Linked DNA regions of Macaca fascicularis. The main gene of each other region encodes a partner of the protein of the gene in region 2 in a complex. Links are inferred from orthologs where the notes say so. Each region holds a gene or a part of one and is shown on either strand. Other genes may lie near its edges.

Evidence for each region.
Region 1: the proteins of CAST (region 2) and CAPNS1 are in contact, whole or in part, in a crystal structure (PDB 3BOW), measured with the Rattus norvegicus proteins. The link is inferred for Macaca fascicularis from reciprocal best matches to the Homo sapiens genes CAST and CAPNS1. Residues at the interface, in NP_445747.2 of Rattus norvegicus: Pro652, Ile653, Asp654, Ala655, Leu656, Ser657, Asp659, Leu660, Asp661; in NP_058814.1 of Rattus norvegicus: Phe103, Leu106, Gln109, Leu110, Ile125, Lys128, Val129, Arg132, His133, Leu136, Phe166, Trp170, Lys174, Gln177, Lys181.

The regions. Positions count from the first base shown.
Region 1 is NC_088393.1:43,389,959-43,393,769, forward strand, and holds part of CAPNS1 (calpain small subunit 1), read left to right. Parts: coding exon 1-58; intron 59-155; coding exon 156-220; intron 221-2,529; coding exon 2,530-2,598; intron 2,599-2,699; coding exon 2,700-2,778; intron 2,779-2,919; coding exon 2,920-3,036; intron 3,037-3,811. UniProt on the Homo sapiens protein: Regulatory subunit of the calcium-regulated non-lysosomal thiol-protease which catalyzes limited proteolysis of substrates involved in cytoskeletal remodeling and signal transduction. Essential for embryonic development.
Region 2 is NC_088380.1:100,638,612-100,643,123, reverse strand, and holds the start of CAST (calpastatin), read right to left. Parts: upstream 2,826-4,512; 5' UTR 2,715-2,825; intron 2,597-2,714; exon of another isoform or gene 2,533-2,596; 5' UTR 2,462-2,532; coding exon 2,387-2,461; intron 1,880-2,386; exon of another isoform or gene 1,768-1,879; coding exon of another isoform or gene 1,738-1,767; intron 1-1,737.

The DNA.
Region 1 (3,811 bases), on a different chromosome or scaffold from region 2:
GACATGGAGGTCAGCGCCACAGAACTCATGAACATTCTCAATAAGGTTGTGACACGACGTAAGTGACCGGGCTCAAGGAATAGGGTAGGTTTAGAGGCAGAGGGGCCTGAGTGGCTTTGGCCTCTGGCCTCTGACTTTCAACCTGTTGCCCACAGACCCTGATCTGAAGACTGATGGTTTTGGCATTGACACGTGTCGCAGCATGGTGGCCGTGATGGATGTATCCTTGGGAGCAGTGTGGGAGAGGCCCTGGGTGCACAGGGAGTTTTTTGAGAGTATGTTTGGAAAGCCAATGTGTAGCCTTCATATCCACAGATGTGGAAATGCATTCATCAGAGCACACTCACCTACAGACATGTGGCAGTAAATCATAACAATGCCAGCTGTTACAGCTGGCACTTTAATTATATAAAGTGACCGAACCTTCACAACCACCCTGTTGGACAGGCACAATTATTATACTCCATTTTACAGATGAGGAAACTGAGGCTCAGTTTCCTGAGAGAAGCAGTCATTTGTCTCAAGTTATAGATAAAGGTCAGGCGTGGTGGCTCATGCCTGTAATCCCAACACTTTGGGAGGCCGAGGTGGGCAGATCACCTGAGGTCAGGAGTTCGAGACCAGCCTGGCCAACAGGGTGAAACCCCATCTCTATTAAAAAATACAAAAATTAGCCGGGCGTGGTGGTGTGCAGCTATAGTCTCAGCTACTTGGGAGGCTGAGGCAGGAGAATAGCTTAAACCCGGGAGGTGGAGGTTGCAGTGAGCAGAGGTTTCGTCACTCCAGTCTGTGGACTCAGGTCTTTTGGGCTTGGGAACCTAAATGTATAACAGCCACATGCACATGTACACACACACACACCTAAGAGCACACCCACATGCGTGAAAGTGTATGAGGCAGTGTGCTCAGGAACACACATATATCTGTATATGGGCCAGCCATCAGCTGACCTTTGATGCATGCATATTTTTATTTATTTTTGTTTTAAAAAATAGTTTATAAGGAGACAAACTTTCACTATATTGACCTGGCAAGTCTCAAACTCCTGACCTCAAGCAATCCTCCCGCCTTGGCCTCCCAAAGTGTTGGGATTACAGGCTTGAGACACTGCGCCTGCCCTTATGCACATTTAACACATAAGGCAGTACAGACACACACATATATACATGTCACGTAATCACAGACATATTGCATAGAGCGAAGCAATCCCAACTGTACCTCTTAACCAGGTTATTGAACCTCTCTGTGCCTCAGTTTCTCTGTCTGTAAAATGGGTGAGTGATAATGGTGATACTGAATTGGAGCTACATGCAAAAGTTTTAGCATTGTGCATAACGCATAGTATGTGGTCTGTACACATTAGCTCTTAACTATGATATTGGGTAGAGTTTTCAGCTTTGAATATGTTTCTTTCTCTGGAAATAGTCCTGGTAGAACTGGTGTCCCGAAGATTTAGTGAGAAAGTGATGTTCCTGAGCTCAACGATCCACCTGCCTTGGCTTCCCAAAGTGCTGGGATTACAGGCATGAGCCACCATGCCTGGCCACACACTTGTTTTTCACATGTCCTAACATTTATGAAATTGAGTTACTGTCCACAATTTTCTTTTCTTTTTTTCTTTTTTTTTTTTTTTTTTTTTTTTTTTTGAGACAGAGTCTTGCTCTGTTTCCCAGGCTGAAGTGCATTGGTACCATCTCAGCTCACTGCAAGCTCCGCCTCCTACGTTTGAGCAATTCTCCTCCCTCAGCCTCCCAAATAGCTGGGATTACAGGTGTGTGCCACTACGCCTGGCCAATTTTTGTATTTTTAGTAGAGACGGGATTTCATCATGTTGGCCAGGCTGGTCTTGAACTCCTGACCTCAAGTGAACCACCTGCTTCAGCCTCCCAAAGTGCTGGGATTACAGGCGGGAGCCACCGCGCCTGGCCTATCAAGAATTTTCTGAATGAGCAATTAACAACTCTTCAGGCAAGGAATGTGTACTTTAGAGTAGTTGAATATAATTCCTCATGGTTATGTTCCTTTTTTGAGACGGAGTTTCGCTCTGTCACCCAGGTTGGAGTGCAGTGGCGTGATCTCAGCTCACTGCAAGCTCTGCCTCCTGAGCTCATGCCATTCTCCTGCCTCAGCCTCCCGAGTAGCTGGGACTACAGGCGCCTGCCACCTCGCCAGGCTAATTTTTTGTATTTTTAGTAGAGACGGGGTTTCACTGTGTTAGCCAGGATGGTCTCAACCTCCTGACCTTGTGATCCACCCACCTTGGCTTCCCAAAGTGCTGGGATTACAGGCATGAGCCACCGCGCCCGGCCTAGTTATGTTTAAAGAGAATCCTTATTTAGAAATATAAGTGACGATATGTATGGATAAAATGAAAAATAAAACTGCACACCAGGTGATACGACTAGGACCAAGCGGGAGCTGGAGTTTCAGCTCTGGCTCCCCTGCTTGCTGTATCACCGTCGTGTCCACAGTGCACGTGATGCGTGCATCTGGGTGTAGCTGTCACTCTTCTTAACACCCTCCCACCAGAGCGACACCACAGGGAAGCTGGGCTTTGAGGAATTCAAGTACTTGTGGAACAACATCAAAAGGTGGCAGGTGTGTAGCAACCTCTGAAATCCCTGGCACCCAGACCCCCAAGCCACGGAGATACCATGCTCTACAATGCTCACTTGGACCCGATCTCTCTGTCCCCACAGGCCATATACAAACAGTTTGACACTGACCGATCAGGGACCATTTGCAGTAGCGAACTCCCAGGGGCCTTTGAGGCGGCAGGTATGGCTGGCAGGGACATGGTGGGGCTGGGAGTGGGATGGGTGAGAAAACCTTTACTCAGCTGGTTTGGGCCTGACTCCTGGGCATGGGAGTGGGTTGGGCCATGTGGCCCCCACACCTGAAGGACTAAATCCATCTCAGGGTTCCACCTGAATGAGCATCTCTATAACATGATCATCCGACGCTACTCAGATGAAAGTGGGAACATGGATTTTGACAACTTCATCAGCTGCTTGGTCAGGCTGGACGCCATGTTCCGTGAGTGATGCCCCAGCTGTCTTCCTGGGTGGGGATTCCTATGACCTCTATGGGCCAAAGTCTCCTCTAAGCCTGACTTTGAGGTGGGCGATGCTAGGGGCACAGGGGTGACTGAATCAGCCCCAGTTTCTGCCCTCATGGAGCGCACAGTCTAGTGGAGGAGAGACGAGTCCCCAGACAGTGACAGTTCAGACTGGTGATGGCTGAGAGGGGAAGCTCAGGGCAGAGTGATGGGTTGTGATGGGGGCAGCACAGGCTGAGGGTCTGGGGCTCTGGTGAGGGAAAGAGTGAGCAGAGTGTGCTCAGATTGTGCTTGGGGAAGCCTAGAGGGCAAATCCAATCCAGGAGGCACCTGATGCAGCCCAAGGGGTCAGGGAGGGCTCACTGGAGAGGGAACATTGGGACCTGAGGGATGAGGAGAGAACTTAGTGAGCAGGTAGGGAATACTGTTGCAGGGGGAGGGAACAGCCTGTGCAAAGGCCTAGAAGGGGAAAGAAGATGGGGCTTCTGGTACTTTTAGCTTGCTTTCTTTTCTTTCTTTTTTCTTTTCTCTTGTCTTTTCTTTCTGCCTTCCTGCCTTCCTCTTCTTTTCTCTTCCTTTCTCTTCCTTTCTCTCCTCTCCTCTCCTCTCCTTTCCTTTCCTTTCTCTCTTCTTTCTTTTTTTTTTCCTTTTTGACAGAGTCTTGCTCTTGTTGCCCAGGCTGGAGTGCAGTGGCACCATCACAGCTCACTGCAGCCTCAACTCCTAGGCTCCAGCAGGCCTCCTGCCTCAGCT
Region 2 (4,512 bases):
ACTAAACAAAACAGGGTTAAAAACATAGATTTAAACTACTTTCATCCAAGTAATCCAGCAGAGTTTCCTTTAGAGAATCATGAGTCTGGAAGGAGAAGTCTGATGTCAACTCTGAACTATCCCTATCCATATTTGCAGATAATGTACATGGTGCATTTTGATAAGAACCTTAGGCCAATAATGACTCAAAGTAAACGTTTGCTCTTACCACATCAATAAAATGCTACATGTAAAAGTCCAGAAAATGTACTGGAAAACACTCAAGAAGAAATATCTCAAGGGAAATTGGAATTCCCAATTCTTAAAAGTATATGTATATTGTATCTTGATTTTTGAATCTAATTAGTCCTCACCAATACTTATGTAGTGCATATGATTTCTATTTTACAGATGTGAAAGCAGATGGAAAAGGTTGACTTATTTTCATTTAAGAAAAACTCTTTGTTCTCCACAGTGTACATGGAGGCTTTAAAAAGAAATTGTAGGCCTGGTGCAGTGGCTCATGTCTGTAATCCCAGCATTTTGGGAGGCTGAGGTGGGAGGATTGCTTGAGACCAGGAGTTTTAGACCAGCCTGGGCAACATAGTGAGAGAGACCCTGTACAGTGTGTGTGTGTGTGTGTGCATATATATATATATATATCCTATAAATATACACACATACACACACTATACATATATACTATATATATAGAAAGGGAGAGTAAAAAATAATCTAAAAAAACCACTACTTTTGGGATATAATTCTGCCTGGCACATAGTAGATGATCAATAAATGTCCATTGTCTGATAAGTAACAGTTTCTTTCTTGATTCTTATACAGGGTTTCTAGCTCTAAAGTGTGTCTGTTTCCAACATCTTTGCTTTTTCCAATACCACATGCTAAGAAAAAGACATACCTAACTAATTTTTTAATTCTCACCATAAATCCATGAGACATAAACATTTTGGCTCTCACTGTCAACAAAACTGTGTGTGGTTTTGTTTTTTGGTTTTTGTTGTTTTTGGAAAGCAGTCTAATGTTAAATCATGCTTCCTGGTTCCAAAACACTAGAAGTGCCAGCTAGACTGGATATCACACCTAATTGGTAGGACAGACATTCAATGCACCAAACAAATGGAACGTTCTTGTCCCTCATCCAAAGTAATAAAGTGCAGAGCAGTTCGCATTTGTGCGCGCTCTCTCTCCCTCCCTCCCTCTCTCTTTCTCGCTTTCTCTCCCCAACCCCTCCACCGCTCTCTCCAAGGGTCTTGGTCTTAGATCTCAGTTGCTTCTAACCCTTGGTGTTTGGGATTTTCTCCCTGCCTCACATTGCATCTACCTTTCCTTTGCTTAAGGGTTAAAAACGAACCCTAGATCTAAGCTCTTGCGAGCTGCGTCCGAGTTCATTCAGGAATCCACCTTCTAGACAGAATTCCTCCAGCAACAATTCCAGTTCCATCCCACTTGTGAGCGCCAGCAGAGCACAGTGCTTGACACAGGGGCGAGAAAGGTGCATGCGCTGCTCACGCTCGAGCGCGCTCACACATACCACAAGAGGGTGAGTCCCCAGCCTCTCCCGGAGCCTAACCTGAAGGTCTGTGAGGAGGTCGCATCCGGTTCGCACCCGGGCCGCACCCCTTCCACGCCAAACCCCGGACAACGCTTCATCCGCACGCCCAGAAGGGCAAAGCAAACACATTCCCTTCCAACACACTCCCTTCCCAGTCTTGCCCAGGCACAACCGCTCCTATTTACCGTCTTGTACCACCAGCTGGCGAATGCCATGGCAACAACCGGCTAACTCCGATCCGCACGGCGGGGGACCCAGCGAGGGCGCGGGGTGCTGTGTTGGAGGCGCCGGGCTCGCACTCTGCCTGGCCGGGACCTGGCTGGCACTGAACTCGGCACATCCCGCGGCTGCCAGGTGGGCAGAACCCTGGGGGTGGAGCCCGGCGCAGACCCCGCCCCTCCCCGCCCGCCCGATTTGGCTCCTGCCTGGTTAGGGAAGAGGCTCTGCGTCTCCAGGCAGCCACGCCCTGCGGCCCGGCCTTAGCGCGGAAAACTAGATCCCGCTGTCCAGTGAAACCAAGGCACTCACTCGGGGGTCCTGAGTGAACCTCATTCCCCGTTCACCCACGTCTCACCAGCCAACTTTTCTCCACGCGCCCCCACTACACTCTACCCGGCCAACGCCACGCCCAGCGCACTGGACCCGGCCGGGGAACCGCAGACACCTCCAGCCACCTGCCGCACAGCGGCCGAGCCCCGAGCCCTCTCCCTGCCCCGCAGGGGCGCCGGGGGCGGCAGACCGGCCAGGCTGGCAACGCCCAGGGAGGGCGGCCACAGCTCCGGGACCCGGTCCCCCGTCGCCCAGCCCCGCGGCGCCGACAGGAGCGCCACTCACCTCCTGGGTGCGGCGGGCGGCGGCTGCGCGCCGGGGACGCGGGGAGGCGGCGGGCTTCTGGCCGGGCTGGGACATGGCGAGGCCGCTGCGGGCGCTGCCTCCGGGAATGCGCCGCGGAGAGTGGCGGGGAGGCCGGGCGGGGAGTCCTGCCAGGGAGGGAGGGAGGGAGGAAGCGGAGGGCCCGGGAGCGCGCGGTGAGGCAGCTTTTCCGACCCCACCCCAGGTCTGCGCCGGGGTTCCCCTAGCCCCGATGGGCCCTCCCCTTCCTGCCCGTGGAGGGACCCGGGCTCCTGCCCTGTAACTTAACACCCACCGCCCCGGTCCTCACCCGGTGACCCTCCCCGGTCCCAGCACTGCTCGGGTTCCGGTTGGTCAGAAAGAAGGGGTTGGAGGTTACATCGTTCCTCCTTCGATGCCCAGATCTATCTAGCAGTTGTGCAACGAGAGAGCGGGACCCGGGCGTGGCCAGTCTACGCTTCGACCCTCCTCCCAATAATCCGGAGAAGTAGATACTCTTTCTACATTCTTCTCTGCTTTAGCTGTGAGAGTTTACCAACTCAAATCTGGCCCAAGCCTGGACAGTCTAGATAAGGAAGCGGATCATAAAAACAAATTAGTCTGTGTGTGTGTGTGTGTGTGTGTGTGTGTGTTCGTGTGTGTGTGTGTGTGTAAGTGCGTGCACGCGCCTGTATAGGTCGTATATGATTTTACTTTGTTTTTTGGCAGTTTCGAATTTTAATAAACTTTTATGGGGAGGAGACCATAGGTTCCAATGCCAAGCGGAGAACAGTCCCAAATTTAAACCCTTATTAAACTCTTATGGTCTTTCTAGAGTCTGGCGAGTTTTGTTTCTGAAGCTAGATTGCTTTTGTCTTGGGCTCATCTTAAACAGCACTTCCTGGTTTGGGGCTAGAAGTGAAATTTAACAAGCCCTACTAGGACATGCTTATGTGAGAGACTGTCAGCCTGCAGTCGCTGCTGGTTCACCATCAGGCCTGACAGAAAACCTGTTTGTTACCCTGCAATAGCATCGTCATTTTGGGACTTGGGGTCACCGCTGTCTGCAGTGTTGGGATTTAGACAGTTGAAGAGAGAGAAGGCAGATTTTTTTTTTTTTTTTTTTTTTTTTTTTTTTTGAGACCCAGCCTGGCTCTGTCGCCCAGTTTGGAGTGCAGTGGCGCGATCTCTGCTTACTGCAATCTCTGCCTCCCGGGTTCAAGTGATTCTCCTGCCTCAGTCTCCTAAGTAGTTGGGACTACAGGCGCGTCGCCACACTCAGCTAATTTTTTATTTTTTATTATTTATTTATTTATTTATTTATTTATTTTGTAGAGACGAGGTTTCACCATGTTGGTCAGAGTGGTCTCGAACACCTGACCTCAAGTTATCCACCCACTGTGGCCTCCCAAAGTGCTGGAATTACAGGCGTGAGTCACTGCACCCGGCCAGAAGGCAGATTTTAAGGAGAGATTTGTCATGCTGTGTGGAGCCTGACAGAACAGAATTCTGGTTTCCTTTCTACCTCCTCATTTTAGAAATTCTGACTTCTTCCTTAAAGGATAGGATAGCAGCATTCTTAATTTTGAGGGAGGGGATGGGGGGAGAAGAGGATTTAAATGCATTTCCTCTTAAAGGATTCTACTTACTGCCTGTGTATCTAGCATTTCAACAAACAGGTAGCACTGCAGGAATTTATACATAAAAATGAAGCAACTTAGATATTGGGACTATGTTCACTCAGGAAAAACAAATGTTTGTTGGCATCGGTTACATTCAGAAAGGAGGGAAAGTATGCCATAAGTCTGAAAACAAGATCTTCTTATGATTGTGACCACACCACTACAGTAATTTTAAAAAACACAAAAGCTGTAGGGGTGAGGTGACAGGCAGCTCCTCCTTCCTGGCCTCCACCCCAGGAACAAGAATGATTTTCTTACTGGGGAGCCTACATGTCCCAGATTCAAGGTTTTAGATCCCTGGAGTACTTTATTCAAACTCTGGAATAGTTTCCACTGACTTGGTGGCATTAAAGTTTGAGGTTATTTTCCAACAGTATTTAAAAATTGAGTTTAACCCGGTTATATATTTCTTGAGAGTATTGTATGTAAAGCATTGTGAAAGGACTA